3 linked regions of the Elephas maximus indicus genome follow. The protein of the gene in region 1 interacts with the protein of each later gene in a pairwise test. Links are inferred from orthologs where the notes say so. Each region holds a gene or a part of one and is shown on either strand. Other genes may lie near its edges.

The links.
Region 2: the proteins of tyrosine-protein phosphatase non-receptor type substrate 1-like (region 1) and CCDC57 interact in a two-hybrid assay, tested with the Homo sapiens proteins (2 studies listed by BioGRID). The two-hybrid records come from large-scale screens. The link is inferred for Elephas maximus indicus from reciprocal best matches to the Homo sapiens genes SIRPA and CCDC57.
Region 3: the proteins of tyrosine-protein phosphatase non-receptor type substrate 1-like (region 1) and NOL3 interact in a two-hybrid assay, tested with the Homo sapiens proteins (2 studies listed by BioGRID and IntAct). The two-hybrid records come from large-scale screens. The link is inferred for Elephas maximus indicus from reciprocal best matches to the Homo sapiens genes SIRPA and NOL3.

The regions. Positions count from the first base shown.
Region 1 is NC_064843.1:40,315,729-40,322,859, forward strand, and holds the start of tyrosine-protein phosphatase non-receptor type substrate 1-like, read left to right. Parts: upstream 1-4,892; intron 4,893-4,998; coding exon of another isoform or gene 4,999-5,033; coding exon 5,034-5,112; intron 5,113-7,131. Other genes in the region: translation initiation factor IF-2-like, read right to left, coding at 3,766-4,668, 4,999-5,035. UniProt on the Homo sapiens protein: Immunoglobulin-like cell surface receptor for CD47. Acts as docking protein and induces translocation of PTPN6, PTPN11 and other binding partners from the cytosol to the plasma membrane.
Region 2 is NC_064837.1:72,005,919-72,013,323, forward strand, and holds the start of CCDC57 (coiled-coil domain-containing protein 57), read right to left. Parts: upstream 3,081-7,405; 5' UTR 3,017-3,080; coding exon 2,971-3,016; intron 1-2,970. UniProt on the Homo sapiens protein: Pleiotropic regulator of centriole duplication, mitosis, and ciliogenesis. Critical interface between centrosome and microtubule-mediated cellular processes. Centriole duplication protein required for recruitment of CEP63, CEP152, and PLK4 to the centrosome.
Region 3 is NC_064839.1:33,580,405-33,586,755, forward strand, and holds NOL3 (nucleolar protein 3), read left to right. Parts: upstream 1-4,440; 5' UTR 4,441-4,545; coding exon 4,546-4,600; intron 4,601-4,704; coding exon 4,705-5,007; intron 5,008-5,179; coding exon 5,180-5,538; 3' UTR 5,539-5,613; coding exon of another isoform or gene 5,614-5,621; 3' UTR 5,622-5,773; downstream 5,774-6,351. Other genes in the region: HSF4 (heat shock factor protein 4), read left to right, coding at 1-58, 599-704, 805-870, 1,075-1,144, 1,447-1,598.

The sequences.
Region 1 (7,131 bases):
CATGTTCTTCCCTTTTGGTTTTCTATCTCCAGATCCTTGCTCGTATCATTATAATACTTTACTTTGTCGTCTCGAGCTGCCCTTTGAAATCTTCTGTTCAGGTCTTTTACTTCATCATTTCTTCCTTTTGCTTTAGCTACTCGACGTTCATGAGCAAGCTTCAGAGTCTCTTCTGATATCAAATTTGGTCTTTTCTTTGTCTCCTGTCTTTTTAATGATCTGTTGCTTTCTTCGTGTATGATGTCCTTGATGTCATTCCACAACTCATCTGGTCTTCAGTTACTAGTGCTCAACGTGTCGAATCTATTCTTGAGATGGTCTCAAAATTCAGGTAGGATATAGTCAAGATTGTACTTTAGCTCTTGTCGACTTGTTCAGATCAGGGTAGACCTTTTTATTTCTATTTCACAGATGAAGAGACTGAGGTTCAAAACATTTTTTTTTCCCCCACATCACATAAGTCAAATTGGCAGCCTTGGCCCGATCCTCCCTCCCTCCAGCAGATCCTGACAACAGGAAAGGGACGGGATCGACTTATCTAAAGGGGTCCCTCTGGCTGTTGAAGGGAAAAGAGACAGGAGGGGACAAGCGTGAAAGCAGGGAGCCCAGGGGGAGAAGCTGGGGGCTCAGACCAGGGGCAGTGGCAGAGGGGGAGTTGTTTGGTTCTGGATGAGACCTGAGGGCAGAGCCAGCAGGATTTGTTGGTGGGTTACACATGGGGAACAACTGGACGGTGGGGCTGCCTCTGGCTTCCCATAGACCTTCTTCTCAGTTTTTGCTCAAAACCACCTCCTCAGTGAAGCCTTCCCTGACCCATTTTTAAATTGCACCCCACCCCTTTCACTGGCACCCCTGGGCCCCTTCCTTGGTTTATTACCGCCTGTAGCACTTAACCTCATCTAAATATTTTACTTGCTGATTTGTTTTCCCCACTAGAATGTCAGCTCTTTGAGGACATTTTTGTCTTTTTTTCCAGCTGCTACCTCTCAATGCCTAGCACAATGGCCAACACATAGTAGATGCCGAATAAATAATGTTGAGTACATGAATGAATGACACATGTATGAATACAGTTCTATTTTGATCCAGGGCATCCCAGGAGCCTGCTATGGGGGTGGCTGATTCACATCAATTATTTGTCGTAATCTCTCTAGAGGACCTCAGGCAAGGTGTCTCCTCCACCTCATTTGACCCATCTGCCCATTGGTCTCAATGACCTCCCAGGGCTGACAGTCGGCCAAGGGTGATTTTATGTGGACTCTGAATCCAGAGAACAAGGCCCAGGGCCCCTCCTGGAGTGGGGGTGAGGGTGAAAATGACCCCTGTGTCAGAAAGCCCTGTTGAGCGCTTTTGCCAAAGGTGCTCTATATAAATAGCAGGTGGTTCAATTATTATCCTTCCCTAATCCAGGCAGGTTCCTAATCCTGGGCAGGTTTCTGCGTGTCTGTGTCGTAAAGAATAGTGAGCCAGCAGAGCCTTCTGGAAGCCCAGGCCAGGGAGCTGCCTCCCCTCTGACCTTCCTCAGCACCCCTGGATACAGGTGATGGTCACCTTCATAGTCCCAGCCAGGCCCTGCCCGAAGAGTCAGAACCTTTTCCCTGCCGCCCACCTCAGATGCTGAGGACCTCACCGGTACCCCACTTCCATGCTCCCCTCCCTGACCCATTCTCCACTGGCAGCCAGAGTGGCCTTTTAAACACATAAATCAGGCAATGGCACTCTCCTGCATAAAGTCCTCCAATGGTAATAAATTAGGCTCCTTACCAAGGTCTGCAGGGCTGCCCAGCCCTCCTCACCCTCCACTTGTTCCCCTCCAACCAAGCTGGCCTGTTGCTGTCAGCTGCTGTCAAGATGATTGTGACTCATGGTGACCCCATGTGTGCAAAGTAGAACTGCTCCATGGGGTTTTCTAGGCTGTGACCTTTTGGAAGCAGATCACCAGGCCTGTCTCTCCCAAGGTGCCTCTGGGTGGGCTTGAACTGCCAACCTTTCAGCTAGGAGTTGAGTGCTTAACAACTTGCACCACAAGCCTGGGGCCTTTATATTTGCTATTCCCTCTTCCTGGAACATCTTTCTCCCCCAGTCCTCGGCTTGCTGCCCCTTTATGTGACTCGGCCTCTAGCTTCTGAGGGAGGCCTGACCTGACCACCCTTATCTAAATTAGCTCTCCTCTCACTCTCTCAGCTCAACCTTCTGTTGTTCATTAATTATTTGCACTTGTCTACTTACCTGTCTCCCCTATGAGAATGTAAATTCCTCTTAACAGGGACCTAGTATGGGCTGCTGTTGTATCTTCTACATCCACAGAAATGAAAATTCCCTTGCACTTCAAATGCTGCCCAGAACCCTGTGGGTGCCCAAGGATTGTTGTCAAGCACTTGATTTATCACACACTGATATGGCACTTGGTGTGTGCTGGGCACGGTTTTAAGTGTTTTACAAACATTAATTTGCTAATTCCCACAACAACCTTTAGTCACTACTCATGTTGGCCTCATTTCATACAAGGAAACTGAGGCACAGAAAGGATAAGTTATTTTCCCAAGTCTGCTCATAAGAGGTGGTGGCGGGATTTGAACCCAGGGAGCCTGGCCCATGCTTTCAGTAGCTATACCCTGCCTGCTTCCCTGTCTTAGCATAACAGCAGGACCAAGCATTGGACTAGGAGGCTGGTGGGGAAGGAAGAGAGGATTGTTAGCTTGAGAATCAGGAATTCAAATCTTGTTTCTACTCCAGGCCTTCCTGTGTGGCCTTAGGTAAGTCCACTCCCTCTGTGGGCCTCAATTTGTTTCTGTCTGCAGGGCTGGGCCTCCCCCTGACCGTCTGCTCCCCCGCAACCCGGATTCATTCAGAGCACTTAACTGACTGTTGCCGTTGTCAGTTGTGGTGGAGTCGACTTTGACCCTATACCAAAAACCAAACCCACTGTCGTCGAGTTCATTGCGACTCATAGCGACCCTATAGGACGGAGTAGAACTGCCCCACAGGGTTTTCCAGGAGCGCATGGCGGATTCGAACTACCGAACTCTTGGTTAGTAGGCGTAGCACTTAACCACTACACCACCACAGTTTCCAGCGAACCTATAGGACTGTGTAAAATTGCCCCATAGGATTTCCAAGGACCGCTGGTGCATTCCAACTGCGACCTTTTGGTTACCAGCTGAACTCTCAACCGCTACGCCATGTGGACTCTGTCTTCGCTGCATAGGGAAGCAAAATTGGTTATCTCCGAGCTTATTTCCAACTCAAGAGCCCTCCAATTAGCAGAGGTCCTGGACTCCTTCCCCTCCCAAAGTCCGGAGCCTTCTGCCAGGTGTCCACAGCACTCCCATTCCCCATCACTGACCTGGCTTCCATTGAGAACACAGAGTTCCCTCAAGGAACAAGAGCGCGGGATTGTTTTTTTCACGACAAGGCTCTGTTGTCAGCTTCCAGGCCTCTTCCCTTGCTCTCCTCCTGGCCCCTCATTTTCCTCACTGCCTGTCGTCTTCCCCTTAACTGGAGCCCAGTCCTTCAAGCTCCTCCCAATACACACCCCCGCCAGGGCCTACCCCACTGCCAGACCGAGAGGTACCTGGCCAGAGAACCCACCTCCTCGGGGAGACCCGGACTCTTCCCCTCGCCTGCCTGCCACAGCCCCCCTCCTCGCTCCACTCTCCTTCCAGCGCCTCTTTTCCAGGCGGTACTGAAGTCCTTCCTACACACGCGCTATTTTTGTACCACCACTCACTCCTTCCTCTCCCCCCTCCCCCCACATTCACTTACTTCCTGCTTTTCCTTCACCTCGGTCCAGCTGTGAAAGAATCGGGCCCCTCTCGCCGGCGCCCAACCCCGAAAGGGGCCCTTCAGCTTTGGGGCACAGGGGCAGGGCCACTCGGGGAGGAGCAAAAGCGGCGCCACCTCCGCCCCTACACACCCTCTCGCACACACTCACACACACACCCTTTCGTCGCCCCCAGCCTCTCGCCAGCGGGGAGCTGGGGCTAACTGGGGACTGTCCGCGGCCGGAGTGGAGTCCGGAGGCGAGGGGAGGCCAGCCGCGACTCCCCCAGTCCACCTTAAAAGGACGCTGTCGCCAGCTCGCGGCGCTGACCTTAGAAAAACAAGTTTGCGCAAAGTGGAGCGGGGGGCCCAGCCTCTGGGCAGCCCCCGGCGGCGCGTCCACAGTCTTCCAGCCCGCACAGGCGGCGCAGGTCCGAGCCTGGCAGTGAGTGGAGGCGGCGGGGGGAGCAGGCTGGCTCGGGGCTGGGGGGCGAGCCGCCGGCGCTTCGGAGTTGACCTCAAGCGGGGAGCGCGAGGCCGCGGACCGGCCGGGGGTGCCTCCCCGGCCCGGTGCGCCACGCGGCCCGCGCGCGTTCTCTCCCCCGGGGCGCGCGGCCGGCGGGCGCGCAGGCGGGCGCTCGCGGGAAGGTGCGGAGGGCCGGAGCCCACAACCTCCTCCGGCGGGAAGAGGGAGGAGGAGAGGGAAGGAGGAGGCGGCCGGGCTGCTGGAGGGCGGGGGCAGCGGCCAGGACTCCAGGCCGGAGCGAGCGAGCGACCGGCGCCGCGGAGGAGCCCGGGCGGGGCAAGTGGGCTGCGGCGGGGGCGGCCTGGGCGGCAGTGCCTGCTCCTCGCCGCTGCCCGCCCGTCCTCCTCTCTCCCGCTCTGCCTCGGTCTGCGCGCTGCTTGCTCACTCCTCTCTCTCGCGCGCTCTCCCTCTCTCTCTCCCTCCCTGTCTCTGGCTCTCTGCCTGGCTCCCTTGGGTCTGTTTCTTTACCCCGCCGCCTCTCTACCCGTCTCCGGCTTTATTTCTCGCGCAGTTGGGGTCTCCCCTCTCCGGCTCTCAGTCTCTCCTGGGGGGGTTCTACGAAAATTGCGGCGGGGACGGCGGCTTCTCACCGCCCCGGGCGTCGGTACGGGGAGTGGGCAGCCCGGCCGGGAGGGGAGGCGGAGGGGGAGGAGGGGGGAGCCTTAGTCATTTCCCCGCTCCAGCCCGCGCCCGCCCGAACGCGCACTCACGGCCGCTCTCCCTCCTCGCTCCGCAGCCGGGGCCCATGGAGCCCGCCGGCCCGGCCCCCGGCCGCCTCGGGACGCTGCTCTGTCTGCTGCTCGCCGCGTCCTGCGCCTGGCCAGGTAAGCACCTCCCTGCCCTCCCCAAACTGCAGATTCAGGCCTTTCAGAGTGCCACGCGGAGCTCCTCGGTTAATGTCGATCAGTACTAGGGGGAGAGATGGGCTACAGATGCGAAAACTGAGGCCCAGAGAGGGCCAGCCACTTGCCCAGAGTCACACAGCCAAAGAAAGACAGAACCCAGGTCCCTGCCGCGTAGTCTTGTTTGTCTTGACCCTGACCGTGCCAGCACTGAACTGACCCGGCGCTGAGGCATACCAGATGAGTTGGCTCAGCAGGCACCTGCCCCATGGGGGAAGCAGGCTATCTGTGTTCTCAGAGCAAGGCGCCCTGCTTCTCTAGAAGCTCTCTGGTCCAGGATTTACCCTTTCCACATGTTTGATTTCTGGGTCTGAGAGGGGTCATCCCTAGGCTGCCTGGCATGGAACAGAAACCGGCTGTCAAAAATGCAGGAATAGGGGACTCTGTTACACAGAGTAAACAGCCTTAGTGTATGTGGCGGGGGAGAGAAAGAGAGGAGAGGAGGCTGCTGCAACCCTGGCGTGAGCTGCTGCAAACCACAGATCCTGAAGTGAAAACACCCCAGATTGTCCCTGTGGTTGCCAAAGCTGCCTAGTTGAGCTCCTTGCTCTCCCTTCCTACCACTTTCCTTCCCATGGGCTCCCTACTTCCTCCTGCCTTCCCCAGCTTCTCGGCAGCTCCCTGCAGCTCAGGTGCTCTGTGGGGCTGTTACCTGTGGCTCTGAGCATGTCTTTTTGTTGGCCTACATCAAACACCTAGCTGTCACCAGCAGACGGGCTCTGAAGGCTACTGTGTGTGTATTCGCCAAGAGGTGAGGTCACCATTCACGAGTCCCGCTTCTTAAAGGGGTTTTGCAAAACACCAGGTCTCCTGGGAGGGTGTGGGGTTCAGACAACTGGGCATGTAAGGGAGCGGGGGCAGAATGGAGATCTCTGTGTTGGCAGAGAAGTTTCTGTACCTCCTACCCTCCAGGAGGGAGGTAAGGATGAGCTCAGTATCTGCTTTTCCCCCCCTACCCCCCACCCCGCATTTGCCTGGAGACTGGTAACCATCAGATAGCAGGGAAAAAGGGAGAACTAGCAAAGAGTGGGTGGAGGGAGAAGTGGCGGTGGACAACAGCTTCTCTCTGCCCTGCAGTTTCGCCTGAACCTTGGGAATCCACATGGGTACCCCCTCTATCCCCTCCCCCCTCCCCAGCTCTTTCAGTTCCAGTTGGGTCCTTGCTGGGTGGGAGGAAAACCCAAACCAAACCCAGTGCCATCAAGTTGATTTCGACTCATAGCAACCCTACAGGAGAGAGTAGAACTGCCCTGTAGAGTTTCCAAGGAGCGCCTGGCGGATTCGAACTGCCCACCCCCTTTGGTTAGCAGCTGTAGCACTTAACCACTGTGCCACCAGGGTGGGAGGAAGTACTGATATATTTCATGTCTTCAGTGAGTGGTATCTCCAATCTGCTCCTTCCTGCCTGAACTGGTCATTTGCCCCCTGCGAAAGTCCGAGTTCCTGCTCTGGAAATGCATAAGCTTCTCTCACCAGTGCTTAATTTTCCTGAAGCTGGGAACTGGGCCCAAGTTAATTTCTAAATGTCTATTCCAGACCCTTCTCCGACTAGACCCTGTGGTTCAGTCCTTGGCAAATGAGCGGTGGTGCTGATTAACAAGTGTTCAGACGGGCAACCTGCCTTTCCAGGGGTGCTGGCTGGGAACACCACCACCCTTCTTGTGAGCAAGTCTCCCCCTTGTGCCTATAAAAACAATCTATAAAATGGTAAAGATTAGGCCATAAAACTTCTGTTCCAATCCATTCAGCATCAATAGCCTGAAAAAGTGGGAGCAGCAGAGGGGCCGAAATTAACTTTGCAATAAATCAATCTTGGGCGGTAAGCATGAATTTCCTAGTTGAGGGTGGTGGGGAGGGGAGGACGTTTCACCTTTGTAGCTCACGCCTCCCAGCAACCTTCACCCTGTTCTGCAGGGTCCTGTTGTCACCCTCTAGGCCTGG
Region 2 (7,405 bases), on another chromosome or scaffold:
AACTACTTTGTGCATGTTCTAGGACCAAGAAAATCAGTAAATATATCCAGGACAATGGGAGCCAGGCTCAGAGAAAGGATCACAAACCAGGCAAGGGAAAGTAGCACAAGCCCTGTGGTAATGGATGGGAACTGAAGGTGTCAGTGCAAATTCATAGGTACACAGATGTAGAAATAGACAGGTGTGTATGATATATACAAAGATGTATTTCCCTGCTCTGTCCCTTGAGAAGGCCAAGGAGCAATGACACCCCAGAAGCAGCGAGCACACCCAGTACCCAGATGTCTAAACACCGTCCTCAACTAAAAGGAACTAGAGAATAGCTGATTCCAGGGCTAGTCCAGGAGAGCACAAGATGAGCCTGGGACATCTGTGGTACCAGAAAGTAAAGAAGTGCTCCGGAAGAGGACCCAGAGGCCAACCTGAAGGGCTCCCAATGGCCAAATATGGGACAATCCAACCAACAAAATCAATGATAGTACTAGATTACAACCCATGGAATAAAATCACAATCCATGAGTTACGGACTAGTACACATACCCTACACAAAATACATAGACTAATATACGAATAGCTGGAGCCCTGGTGACCCTGTGGTTAAGAGCTCGGCTGTTAACCAAAAGACCAGCAGTTCAACTCCACCAGCCGCTCCTTGGAAACCCTATGGGGCAGCTCTACTCTGACCTACAGGGTCACCACTCAACAGCAATGGGTTTTTTTTTTTTTTTTAATATATGAATATATAAAAAATACACCAATACACAAAAATAAATGAATAAATAGATAAATGGGGGAGACGGGAAGGTTCTTCCTTACAGTTGTTGTTAGGTACCATGGAGTCAGTTCCGACTCATAGTGACCTTACAGTAGAATTTCAAATTACAAATGTAGAACGAATATGGAATAGACAGATATACATTAACAGCTGCTTCAGGCAAAACTCAGCTCATGATGCTAAAGCTAATGGTAGGAAGAACAGCGTGAAACAAGATACTTCCATAGTCTCAAAATATTCCCTCACAGATATATTTATCATTTACAAGAGAGAACAGCAACTGTACAGTGGAGAGGCCTGGCAGACGCGCTCACACCAAGTGATCGAAGTCAGCATCACCACGAATGGGACCAGTCAGTGTCACAGGCCTCCTGACAAGCTACACTGAGAAAAACACTGCTTCGCTTTTGAGATTTCCTTACATCAAAGGAAACTGAAACCAAGGGGCATCCTACAAAATTGCTAGCTAGAGCTCTGCAAATGTGTCAGGGTTGTGAAAGACACAGAGGCCGAGGAAAGGCTGCCGATTGAAGAAGGCGAAGAAAACACAGCAGCTAAACGCAAGGCGCAGCCACAACAACGGACTCAAACACACCAACGATGGTCAACGTGGTGCGGGACCAGGTGACGTTCCGTTCCGTTGTGCCTAAGGTAACCCTGAGTCGGAGAAACTCGATGGCAACAACCAGCCACCACCACCACCACCACAAAAGCAATGCAGGGTCCTGGACTGGATCCTGGGTCAGAGTGAAGTCCTCACAGAGATAGCTGCTAAGTTTGAATACAGCCTGGTACCCCTCGCCTTCGAGTCGACTCAGACTCATCGCGACCCTATAGGACAGAACAGAACTGCCTCCGTGGAATATCCAAAGAGCACCTGGTGGATTCAAACTGCCGACCTTTTGGTTAGCAGCGGTAGCACTTAACCACTACACCACCAGGGTTTCCTACCGCCTGATATCAATGTTAATTTCCTGACTTTTGGTACGTGAACTGTGTAAGAAGTTAACATTTTTTAGGAAACTGCTTGAAAAGTGCTCAGAAATTCTTTGTACTATTTTTGCAACTTTTCTGTAGGTCCTAAATAACTGGGGGGGGGGGGGGGGGTGGGTCAGACTCTGGAGCCAGACTGCCTAGGGTTGGCCCCCTTTACTGGCTGTAGAACTTGGGCAAATGATCTTATTTCTGTGTGTGGCACCTTCATCGTCTGTAAAAAGGCAATAACCATGCCCTGCCATCAGGTTATTGGGTTTGTTTTTTTTTTCCCCAAATAACGACAAAACACAAAGCACTATAGCAGGAAGCTTCGGTGCCAGGTTCCCATCCTTCCACCCGCACTTCATCAACCCAGGAAGTAATAGCAGTGTCGTCTACCACTGGGAGCAGAGAGGGGGAAGAAGGGCAAACAGCAGTCAGTGAGCTTCCGGGGCGCTCGGGTGGACCCGCGCTGTTCCAGCATTCTGCTGTTGTTGTTCCAGGCCTTGCAGTCGGTTCCGACTCACAGCGACCCTGTGCACAAAAGGAAACACTGCCCGGTCCTGCGCTATGCCCACAATCGCTGCTACGTCCGAGCCCACTGTTGCAGCCACTGTGTCAATCCTTCTCGTTGAGAGTCTCTTTTTTGCTGACCCTCCACTTTCCCAAGTGTGATGTCCTTCTCCAGGGACAGGTCCCTCCCGACAACATGTCCAAAGCAGTAAGACCGACTAGAACCAGAATGTTCCAGCATTCTAGCTGATACTATGTCCCCACTTCACAGGTGAGGGTGAAGAACTGTCCGGGCCGCGCCTGGCCGCGCCGGCGGACCCCGAGCCCGAGCCCGGCCGCGCCGGCGGACCCCGAGCCCGAGCCCGGCCGCGCCGGCGGACCCCGAGCCCGAGCCCGGCCGCGCCGGCGGACCCCGAGCCCGAGCCCGGCCGCGCCGGCGGACCCCGAGCCCGAGCCCGGCCGCGCCGGCGGACCCCGAGCCCGAGCCCGGCCGCGCCGGGGCGGTCACCGTCGGACACCGCGTTCCTGAGGAGCGATGTCCCCCGAGACGTGGAGGTCACGGGCTTCTGCACAGAGTGTGGCCAGCAGGCGGCGATCTGCAGGCCGAGGACGCGGTCCTCGCACGTTACCCGCCCCGGCGACCCTGTCTCTCCGCCGCGTCCGGGTCGCCAAGCCCCGCTCCTCCCCGTCCCCGCGCCGCGGCTCACCGGGATCTTCTGTCCGCCGCTGCCGCCAGTCCCCCCGCGTTGCCATGACGACTCGGTCCTTCGGCCGCGGCCGGGCGCGCTCCGTGCGCCGCTGGGCTCCGCCGGGCGGAAACGCGAACCCCGGCTCCGGGTTCCGGCTCGCGGCCGCCGCCACTCAAAACAACGAAGAGGAGTCCCGGGAAAAGGGCCTGGGCGACAGCCTGCCCGGCTCCCCCGGCCTGCTGCCTCGTACACTTAGCCCGGGCCGGCTTCCGCACCAGTCCGTGGGCCCCTCAGGACAGAGCTCCTGTTCGAGGGGAGCGGCCGCTGGTCGCCGGGTCCGCTCCAGGACCGGGTGCACCAAAGGGTGCCCGCGCTACCTCGCCCCGGCCCGGCCCCCAGAGCCACAGCACATCGGGGGCCAAGTCCATGTCCCGCAGTGAGCCCAGGCCTGGGGCCGGGAGATCCCACGGAGCGGACACAGCCCTCGGTGGCAATGAGGTCCCGGCAGAGGGGACAGCGCCCCTTCCGTGGGTCGGGGTCTGCGTCCTGGCCCTGCGTGCCTCAGTGGGGCCAACCTGCGAAGTGGGGTCGACGAGAGCTCTGCACACTCCCTGACCCTGTGGTGACTGTGACCATCCCTGCAGCCCAGCCAAGGGTGCCAGGCCCTCAAGCTTCACAGCTGGCTGACCAAGAACTTGGGCTCCGGGACCTCGATTCCTGAGTTCTAATCCCAGTCTGACTTGGTCGAGGATGTTATAGATTGAATTGTGTCCCCCAAAAATGTTTGTCAACTTGGCTAGGCCATGATTCCCAGTATCATGTCATTGTTCACCATTTTGTCATCTGCTGTGATCTCCCTGTTGTTAGGTGCCATCAAGTCAGTTCTGACTCATAGAGACCCTATGAATGAAACACTGCCCAGTCCTGCACCATCCTCACAATCATTCTGCTTAAACCCTCTGTTGCAGCCACTGTGTCAATTCATCTCATTTAGGGTCTTCCTCTTTTTCGCCAACCCTCTATTTTACCAAGCATGATGTCCTTCTCCAGGGACTGATCCCTCTTGACAACATGACCAAAGTATGTGAGACACAGCCTTGCCATCCGTGCTTCTAAGGAGCATTCTGGCTGTACTTCTTCTAAGATAGATTTGTTCATCCTTTTGGCAGTCCATGGTATATTCAAGATTCTTCACCAACACAATTCAGAGGTATCAACTCTTCTTCAGTCTTCTTTATTCATTGTCCAGCTTTCACCTGCATAGAAGGGGGTTGAAAACACCATGGTTTGGGTCATGAGCACCATAGTCTTCAGGGTGACATCTTTGCTCTTCAGCACTTTGAAGAGGTCCTTTGCAGCAGATTTGCCCAATGCAATGCGTCTTTTGATTTCTTGACTGCTGCTTCCATGGCTGTTGATTGTGGACCCAAGTAAAATTAAATCCTTGACAGCTTCAATCTTTTCTCCATTTATCATGATGTTGCTTATTGGTCCAGTTGTGGGGATTTTTGTTTTCTTTATGTTGAGGTGTAATCCATACTGAAGGCTGTGGTCTTCGATCTTCATCAGTAAGTGCTTCAAGTCCTCATCACTTTCAGCAAGCAAGGTTGTGTCATCTGCATAAGGCAGGTTGTTAATGAGTCTTCCTCCAGCTTCTCGTATTATTTGCTCAGCATACAGACTGAATAGGTATGGTGAAAGGATATAACCCTGACACACCCCTTTCCTGACTTTAAACCATGCAGTCTCCCCTTGTTCTGTTCCATCAGCTGCCTCTTAGTCTCTGTACAGGTTCTGCATGAGCACAATTCAGTGCTCTGGAATTCCCATTCTTTGCAATGTTATTCATACTCTGTTATGATCCACACAGACAAAAAACTTTGCATAGTCAATAAAACACAGGTAATATTTCTGGTATTCTCTGCTTTACAGGTAGGATCCATCTGACATCAGCAATGATATCCCTTGTTCCATATCCTCTTCTGAATCCAGCTTGAATTTCTGGCAGTTCCCTGTCAATGTACTGCTGTAGCCATTTTTGAATTATCTTCAGCAGAATTTTACTTGCAAAAAAAACACCCAGTTTTTTTTTTTTTTTTTTGCAGTGTGACATAAATGATATTGTTCAATAATTTTCACGTTCTGCTGGATCTCCTTTCTTTGGAATGGGCACAAATATGGATCTCTTCCTGTTGGCTGGCCAGGTAGTTGTCTTCCAAATTTCTTGGCATAGACAAGTGTGTACTTCCAGTGCTGTATCCGTTTGTTGAAACTTTTCAGTTGGTATTCCATCAATTCCTGGAGCCTTGTTTTTCACCCATGCCTTCAGTGCAACTTGGATTTCTTCCTTCAGTACCATTGGTTCCTGCTTATATGGTACTTCCTGAAATGGTTGAACATCAACCAATTCTTTCTGGTATAATGACTGTGTATTTCTTCTATCTTCTTTTGATGCTTCCTGAGTCATTTGATATTTTCCCCATTGAATCCTTCAATATTGCAACTGAAGGCTTTAATTTTTTTTTCAGTTCTTTCAATTTGATAAATGCAGAAAGCGTTCTTGCCTTTTGGTTTTCCATCTCCAGCTCTTTCCACATGTCATTATAATACTTTACTTTGTCTTCTAGAGCTGCCCTTTGAAATCTTCTGTTCAACTCTTTTACTTCATCATTTCTTCCTTTCGCTTTAGCTACTCAACGTTCAAAAGCAAGTTTCGGAGTCTCTTCTGACGTCCATCTTGGTCTTTTCTTTCTTTCCTGTCTTTTTAATGACCTGTTGCTTTCTTCATGTATGATATCCTTGATGTCGTTCCACACAACTCGTCTGGTCTTTTGGTCACGAGTGTTCAACACATCAAATCTGTTCTTGAGATGGTCTCTAAATTCAGGTGGGATATACTCAAGGTCATACTTTGGCTCTCGTCAACTTGTTCTAATTTTCTTCAGTTTCACCTTGAACTTGCATATGAGCAACTGATGGTCTGTTCCACAGTCAGCCCCTGGTCTTGTTTTGACTGATGATATTGAGCTTTTCTATTGTCTCTTTCCACAGATGTAGTCGATTTGATTCCTGTGTATTCCACCTGGAGAAGGCCATGTGTATAGTTGCCATTTATATTGGTGAAAAAACGGTATTTGCAATGAAGAAGTCATTGGTCTAGCAAAATTCTGTCATGTGATCTCCAACATCATTTCTATCACCAAGGTCATATTTTTCAAGTACCAATCCTTCTTCTTTGTTTCTGACTTTTGAATTCCAATCTCCAGTAACTATCAATGCATCTTGGTTGCCTGTTCGATCAATTTCAGACTGCAAAAGCTGGTAAAAATCTTCAATTTCTTCATTTTTGGCCTCAGTGGTTGGTGTGTAAATTTGAATAATAGTCCTATTAACTGGTCTTCCTTATAGGCATATGGATATTATCCTATCACTGACAGCATTGTACTTCAGGATAGATAATGTAATGTTCTTTTTCATGGTGAATGCAACACAATTCCTCTTTGTCATTCCTGGCATAGTAGACCATATGATTGTCCAATTCAAAATGGCCAATACCAGTCCATTTCAGCTCATTAATGGCTAGGACCTTCCCATGTGTTGAAAATCCTACTTCTATGATGTTAATGAGGCAGGAGTCAATCTACAAGGTTAGGCTGTGTCTTGAGTCAATGCCTTTTGAGACATTAAAGAGAGAAGCCAGCAGAGAGACAGGGGGACCTCTTGCCACCAAGAATGAAGGACCAGGAGGGGAGCATGTCTTTTGGACCCGAGGTCCTTGTGCTGAGAAGCTTCTAGACCCGGGGGAAGATTGATGACAAGGACCTTCCCCCAGAGCCGACAGAGAGAGAAAGCCTTCTCCTGGATCTGTTGCCCTGAAACTGGACTTCTAGTCTCCTAAACTGCAAGAGAATAAATTTTCCTTTGTTAAAGCAATTCACTTGTGGTATTTCTGTTATAGCAGCACTAGAAAACTAAGGGGAGGACCCCGACCCAGGGTGACCCCGTGCACAACGCTGCTAACCTTAAATATGACCCTGTTTGGGAATAAGGGGTTTTCTTTTGTCATGTTAACGAAGGCACACCAGCATAGGGTGAGTCCTAAACCTAATCTGAGGGGTGTCTCATAAAAAGAGCAAAATAGACACAGAGACACACAGGGGAAAATAGACACCACGTGAGGATCATCTGCGAGCCCAGACCCTGATTTGGACTTTCAGCCTCCAGAACTGTGAGAAAACAAATTTCTGTACTTGTGGCATTTGGGTTACAGCAGCTCTAGGTAACTAAGACAGTTCTGTAACTTGCCCCTGTTTACCGACAAGCAAACCGAAGTATTGTACTGCCCAGCACAGCGATGTCGACACACGTCAGCTGGTTCCATCATCCATGGCGCAAACAAGGGAAGAGGAAGGCCAAAAGGCCATCACCTGGGGGGTTGGGCCTGCAGCTCTCA
Region 3 (6,351 bases), on another chromosome or scaffold:
AGGGGCCCAGGAATGCCCAGCAGCCTGAACCAAGGGGCCCCAGGGAGGTCCCTGACAGGTAAGCATAGCCTGTTTGTGACTGCGAACCCCATGTGGGCTACTTTTGCAGACAGAGCAGCACTTACCAGCTGGAGAAACTTTCCAACCTTCTCTGCCCCTTGGTGGCCCAGGGGAAGGTTAGGCACTTTGTCCATGATCCTGACCTGACTTCCCAGAGAGTGCTCCAAGGAGCACCGGCATCAGAGTCCCCTGGAAAGTTGGAAGCTTATTAAAATACAGAATTTCTGGCTCCTGTTCAGGTCAATCAACATCTCTGTGGAAGGACTCAGGAATTTGCATTTTAAACAAGTTCACTGAGGTGATCGTGATGTGCACAATAGTTTAAGAACCACTGGTATTGACACTTGCAGCATAGGGAGGGGACATTTCCCAAGACCCCGGCCCCACAACCCAAACCTCAGGCCCCAGGTAGGAGACCGAAGTACTCTCTATGAGTCCCTTGGAGACTCCTGTCCTAGTGTTTTCTAGGGTGGGGGTGGGGGAACCTAATGAGGGGATGGGTGGGCTCTGCAGGCCAACAACAGTTCTTTGTGCACAGGGAGTCTCTGGGCCTGGAGCGGGGGAGCCAAAGCCCAGAGGGTCTACTGCCTCCAATGCTCCTTCGGGGTACCCCAGAAAGTCTGGAGCCTGCAGGGCCCCTGGATGTGAGTACCCCTCCAGCCTGGGGCAGGGGCATAGGGTCCAGTAGGGCCTAGCTCTCTGTGCAGCTTGGGGAGGGCACCACTGACCCCAAGCTCCCCTCAGGTGCTGGGCCCCAGCCTCTCAAGTCGAGAGTGGACCCTGATGGACTTGGACATGGAGCTGTCCCTGGTAAGACAGGGGTGAGATTGGAAGACAAGGGCCTAGGGACTGCTGAATCAAGCCCTGTGGTCCATGGCTACTGCTCTCTCTGAGCCAAAGGCATGGCTGAGGAGGACTGCCCCAGAGTCCAGAGGATTCCCCAGCTCTCCTCTTTAGATCCCAGCACTCCCCTCCCCCCGCCCCACAGCTGCTTCCTGGGGTTCTCCCATGCAGATGCAGCCCTTGATTCCAGAGAGAGGTGCCGCTGAGCTGTCAGTCAAGGGGTTAAATTCACAGGGCCCAGGTAATGGTTGGGGTGACTCAGGGCCTGGGGGGAGGTCATGATTACTCTGAGTGATCATGATTTGGTGACTGGGCAAGTCTGTGTTTTGGAGGAAAGCCTTCTGAATTCAGGCTGTTCTGTAGAGAGAGACCCCAGCCACCCACCCACTCATCACTGGGTGAGAGTGGGGAGACTGTGAATAGATGTCCCATCCTAACTGTACCGAGGGCAGGGCGGGCAGGGAGGGCAGGGCGGTCCTTCTCCAAAGAAAGGAGGCGAATCTTTTTTTTTTTGTCTGCTGAGCTTGCCTCCACTCTTCCTAGGCAAGGATCCCACGCCCGGGAGGCCGCTCCTGCTGGATGTTCCGGCGGGTTTGGGAGGCCCAGCCCTCGGCCTGCCTGGGGCTTTAACCATTTATGGCACCCCCGAGAGCCGGGCCTCCTACCTGGGCCCAGGAACCAGTCCCTCTCCTTGAGAGCCCCTGCCTTCTGGAGCTGGCTGGGCCGAGGGACTGGTCCCAGGCAGCACGCCCCTCTCGGCTTCCTGGCGCCCCCTGGCGGAGGCTGAGCGAAGCCCGCGCTACTCGGCGGCCGCTCTCCATTCCCCCGCCTAGCCCTGCATATAAAACTGCATTTTTCTCAGTTTCTGGCCTCTTTTCTCTACCGACCAGGAAGCACAGAAGTCGTAGGTGGGGGGCGACTTTGCACTCGTAGAAGCGTCCAGATCTTAGGGTTTTAATAGAGGAACCCCCGATGCGGGTGTAGGTGCTTGGGGAGCCCGCCTCTAGCCCTCCTACCTAGGCCCTGATCCTGAGCTGATGAGCAATCGCTGAGACCTCCGGGAAGCGGGGTTTCTGGGTCAGACCCGACTCCGCAATGCATACGCTGTGTGACCCTAGACTGTTTTCTCTGAGCATCATCTGTGACACACAGAGAGGAGCGGTCGAGGAGAATATTGGTGTAAAGTGGGCCCTGGGCACGTGGGGCCGCGGGCCGAACTGTCCCTCCCCCTACCCCCCTCTGACTCATCTCCGGGCGCACACCCGGTGGGGAGAGAAAACAGACTACCGGCTCCCAGCAGCCCTGGCCGCCCCGCCCCCGGCGCAGCTGTTGTCCTCCCCCTCCCCGCGGCCCAGCATTTTCTGCACTGTCATCTCCTGCGTGACTGAGGCTCGACCCGTGAGTGGGGCCGCCCTGAGCGGACGGGACGGGGAGCCCCACCCCACTCAGCTGGAGGGAGGGAAGAGAAACTGAGATTAGGCTCTGAGGAGGTCGGTGAGCCCCGCCCCTCCGCAAGACTCTTAAACCCAGGGACTGGGTGGAGGAGAGGTAAGGGCATCCTTGCCGGCGCACATGCGCAAAGGCTCCCGCCGTTTCCCCAAGACCCTCGCTTGCAAGAGTATGCGCCGGGGCGAGGGAGGAACCGGGACCCTGCTGCTCTGCTTGCGCCTGGGGTCGCTTGGCGCTCCGGGAATAATCTGGCCTAGGATCTTGAAGGGCTGGCTCTGAGGCCAAAGGGCAGCGAGGTAGCTTCGGTGTTTCCTTCTGAGCAGTGAGGGCTATAGAGGAAGGGCTCCGACCAGAGGGGTCTCTGCTTCCCAGACAGGACAAAGGGCAGGACTTGGGGTAATGGGAGGAGGAGGCTAATAGGAAGGAGGGCAGGCCAGTCCAATCGCACCCTCCCTCCCTGTCCAGGGTAGATGCTGATCCCCTCTTCTCACTCCCCCAATGATTGAGGTCCGTCATTGGAAGCCCTCAGCTGAAGAGGGCAGAGGGTCTTCCTGTCACACAGTTCAGCGATGTCAGTTAACTAACTACACAGTGGTGGGGGTATATGGTGTTCCCTGGTGCTCGCAGAAGGAACCAATCGGCCTTTGGGAGACTTAGCACTGGAGTGGATAAGGGAACATTTGAGTCTTGGAAAATAGGTTCACCAGGTGGAGGGAGGGAAAAGGCATTCCAGACTTAAGGAACATCTGCACAGGCTCAGACGTGCCAGGGGCTTGGCAAGTTCTGGGAGCACTGAGTGGAAGAGGGAAGTGGGGAAAGGCCTAGCTCTGTGTGTGGGGGGTGGGGGAGTAGCTAGAGCAGCCAGGCCAGGTGGTCTGGTCTCTCTCTGATGAGCAGTGGAAGGTGGACAGCAGGTGGTTAGGGCTGACTTTCTGCCAGGCATTCAGGCTACATACAGCAAGTCAGATTCCAGCTCTGCCACTTGCTCTCTCTGTGCCTCTCTCATCTGTAAAACGGGAATGATAAATCCTAGGCTGTGGGGGTGACAGAGTGGGAGTGAGGTGCCCAGAGGGGCTGTTACAGGAAATGAGGCAATGATGGTGGGGCTGGGGGTGGGGGTGGCTGATAGAGACTCACTGAGAGATGGAGCAACAACACTTGTCATGGTTGAGACCGGAAGGGGGAGATGGGTAGTCCTAGTCTCTCTTCAGTGGCCTAGGGGAGGAGCTGACACTTCCATATGGCTAAGAGGGGTTAAATGATCAGCGGAGGCATTGGAGACAGTATAATACCAGGGGCTGGAGGGAGAGACCTGTAAGGCAGGATGGGGGCTAGGACCAAATTCTCTCTTCCCAACAAGGCCCAGATGCCTAGAACAAGGTAGAGGAGGGACCTCAAAGGGAGAAGGAGACCGGGGGGTGGGTGGCGACGAAACCAAGACAGGGAGGAAAACAGTAAAAGTTTGGGAAACATTTATCGGTAGCTTTTATCTGCTGGTCCCCGGAGATGCCAAGAAGCAAAGATGTCTGTGAGTCACTCCCAGACCAGTGGGGAGACAGTTGTGTCTCAGGTGATGTCAGGAAATCATGGTCAGAGCTGGGACTCAAGAGGATTCAGGTATTCCTGCTCAGGTATCAGGGAACCAGGAAGGACTAGGAGACCACATTGGGGGTTGCACCACAGTGGTGGTGTGGTGGGGGGCAGTGCAGGGGCTGGGCCTGGTCTGGAAAGATGACCTCAAGGTCAGAGTAAGGGCTCTGGACTTCTTCCAGCAAGTGAAAAGACTTTGGGTTTTGAATGCAGAGGGGAGAGTATGGAGGCAGAGAGCCCGGAGGGAGGATTCTGAAGAGACCAGACAAAGTAAGTGGTGGAGATGAGGAGATATTCAGCAGAGTGGAAAGGACCTGACAGAGAGCTGGGTGTGGGGTATCTGGGGTCAATCCTAGGTCTTTCTGTCTGTTGAAGCGGAGAAGCAAGTTTGGGAAAGAGAAAGGGGTCAGTTTGGATAAACTGGGTCTGAACCGATGGCGAGATTTGCGGCGGCGGCGGCGGAGGGTGGTGGGGAGCGCAGGTGGCTGGGGTTCAGGAAGTCCCGGTTGGGGAGAGAGGTGAGCGAGGCCACAGGTGACATTTAGAGAAACGGAAGAAGGGACAGGACAAAGCGGCCCAAAAGGCAGGAAGACAAGGAGCTCAATGCAGTGGCCTCCAGGTCCCGCGCAGCTGACGAACCTGGCTAGTCAAGGTCAAGGTGAATTTTGGCCCCAGCCTTGGCAGTTCACTGGAGCCCCGGGAGAGAGGTGAGGGGCGGGGGACCCCTGGCGCCCATTACCCCTCTCCCCCGTCACCATGCAGCCTGGACCATGGGCAACGCGCAGGAGCGGCCGTCGGAGACGATCGACCGCGAACGGAAACGCCTGGTAGAGACACTGCAGGCAGACTCCGGGCTGCTGCTGGACGCATTGCTGGCGCGGGGCGTGCTCACTGGGGCGGAGTACGAGGCGTTGGACGCTCTGCCTGATGCCGAGCGCAGGATGCGCCGGCTGTTGCTGCTGGTGCAGAGCAAGGGCGAGATCGCCTGCAACGAGCTACTGAGCTGTGCTCAGCGTACCGCGCGCGCACCTGACCCGGCTTGGGACTGGCAGCACGTGGGCCCTGGTGAGAGCTCGTGGGGCCGGGCCTAGGGCAGAGCAGGGGGCGGGGCGCGACCCGGGGGCGGGGCAAAAGCTAAGCCGGGGCCGGAGTTGTCTTCCAATGAGGAGTACCAGTGGCTGCAGAGGAAAGAGAGAAAGGGTAAATTGAGCCTGAGACACGCCCACCTCCGCCCCAGGTTACCGGGACCGCAGCTACGACCCTCCGTGCCCGGGCCACTGGATGCCTGAGACACCCGACTCGGGGACGGCATGCCCCGGACTGCCCAGAACTTCTGGCTGGGATGAGGCTGGGGGTCTCGAGGGCTCCGAAGCGGTGCAATCCCGGATCTCCGAGGACCCCAAGCCGGAGCTGGAAGCCGAGGCTTCTGAAGGGGCTGAGCTGGACCCAGAGCCCCAAATGAATCCGGAACCTGAACCAGAGGCAGAACCAGAGCCTGAATTGGAGCAAGAGCCCGACCCAGAGCCGGATCTTGACTGTGAGCCAGCGGATGAGTCCGAAGGTGTGGGACTGCCTAACCCGATGCCTGGCTGGTAGGAGGGCGTGGACTGGGAAGTGGAGGGCGGGCCCCACCTCACTGTCCACTCTCCCACATTACCTTGTGGATTCTAGATTCCTGAGGACCAGACCGCTGACCAGCCGTTTCCCACTGAAACCGGAAGGGACCTGGGATCGTGCCTAGGCTTGGTCGATGCCACTGAGACTCCTTGTGGCCGAGTGCCGCTGGAAGTAATAAACCCTGGAGGGTCGGCCTGGGCTCTCTCCATCATTCTGGCTCTATGCCCAGGAACTGGGGGTGGGCAAGCCTGGGTACCTGGGTACCAGTGGTTTGGGCAGCCCTGTGCCCCTCCCCCCCCCGAGTTTTTAGCCTCATTCCCACCCTCAATAGCCCAAGCGGCACCCTTAGAGATTGCAGACCCAGAGCTCCAGTGGGACAAAGGCCTGCCCCCTGCTCCACAGCACTTTCCCCCTCATGGGCCATTTAAGGACCTGTGTAGGCACCAGCCCTGCTCCATGGAAGTCCCTGGGCTTGATGCAAAGAGCAAGGGAAGCGGGACTGCTCTCTGCTTAGGGAATGCTTAGCGATCAGAGCCTTAGAAAGTGAGATTAGAAAAGAGGAGCAGGATGGAATCTTGGGTAGACAAAGCCCACACACTTCACTGTAAATGCTGTTTTAATTGTCTGGCTTTCCCCTGCACTGGGAGTTCAGTGAGAGTTCTGACCAGTAATTGGCACACAGAAGGTGCTCTAGACATACTCATTGACTAAATGAATAAGGACTTTCCAGCAGTGTTTCTGAGTTTTACAGATGGGAAAACTGAAACCCAGGGAAAGGGTGAAACTGTGCCA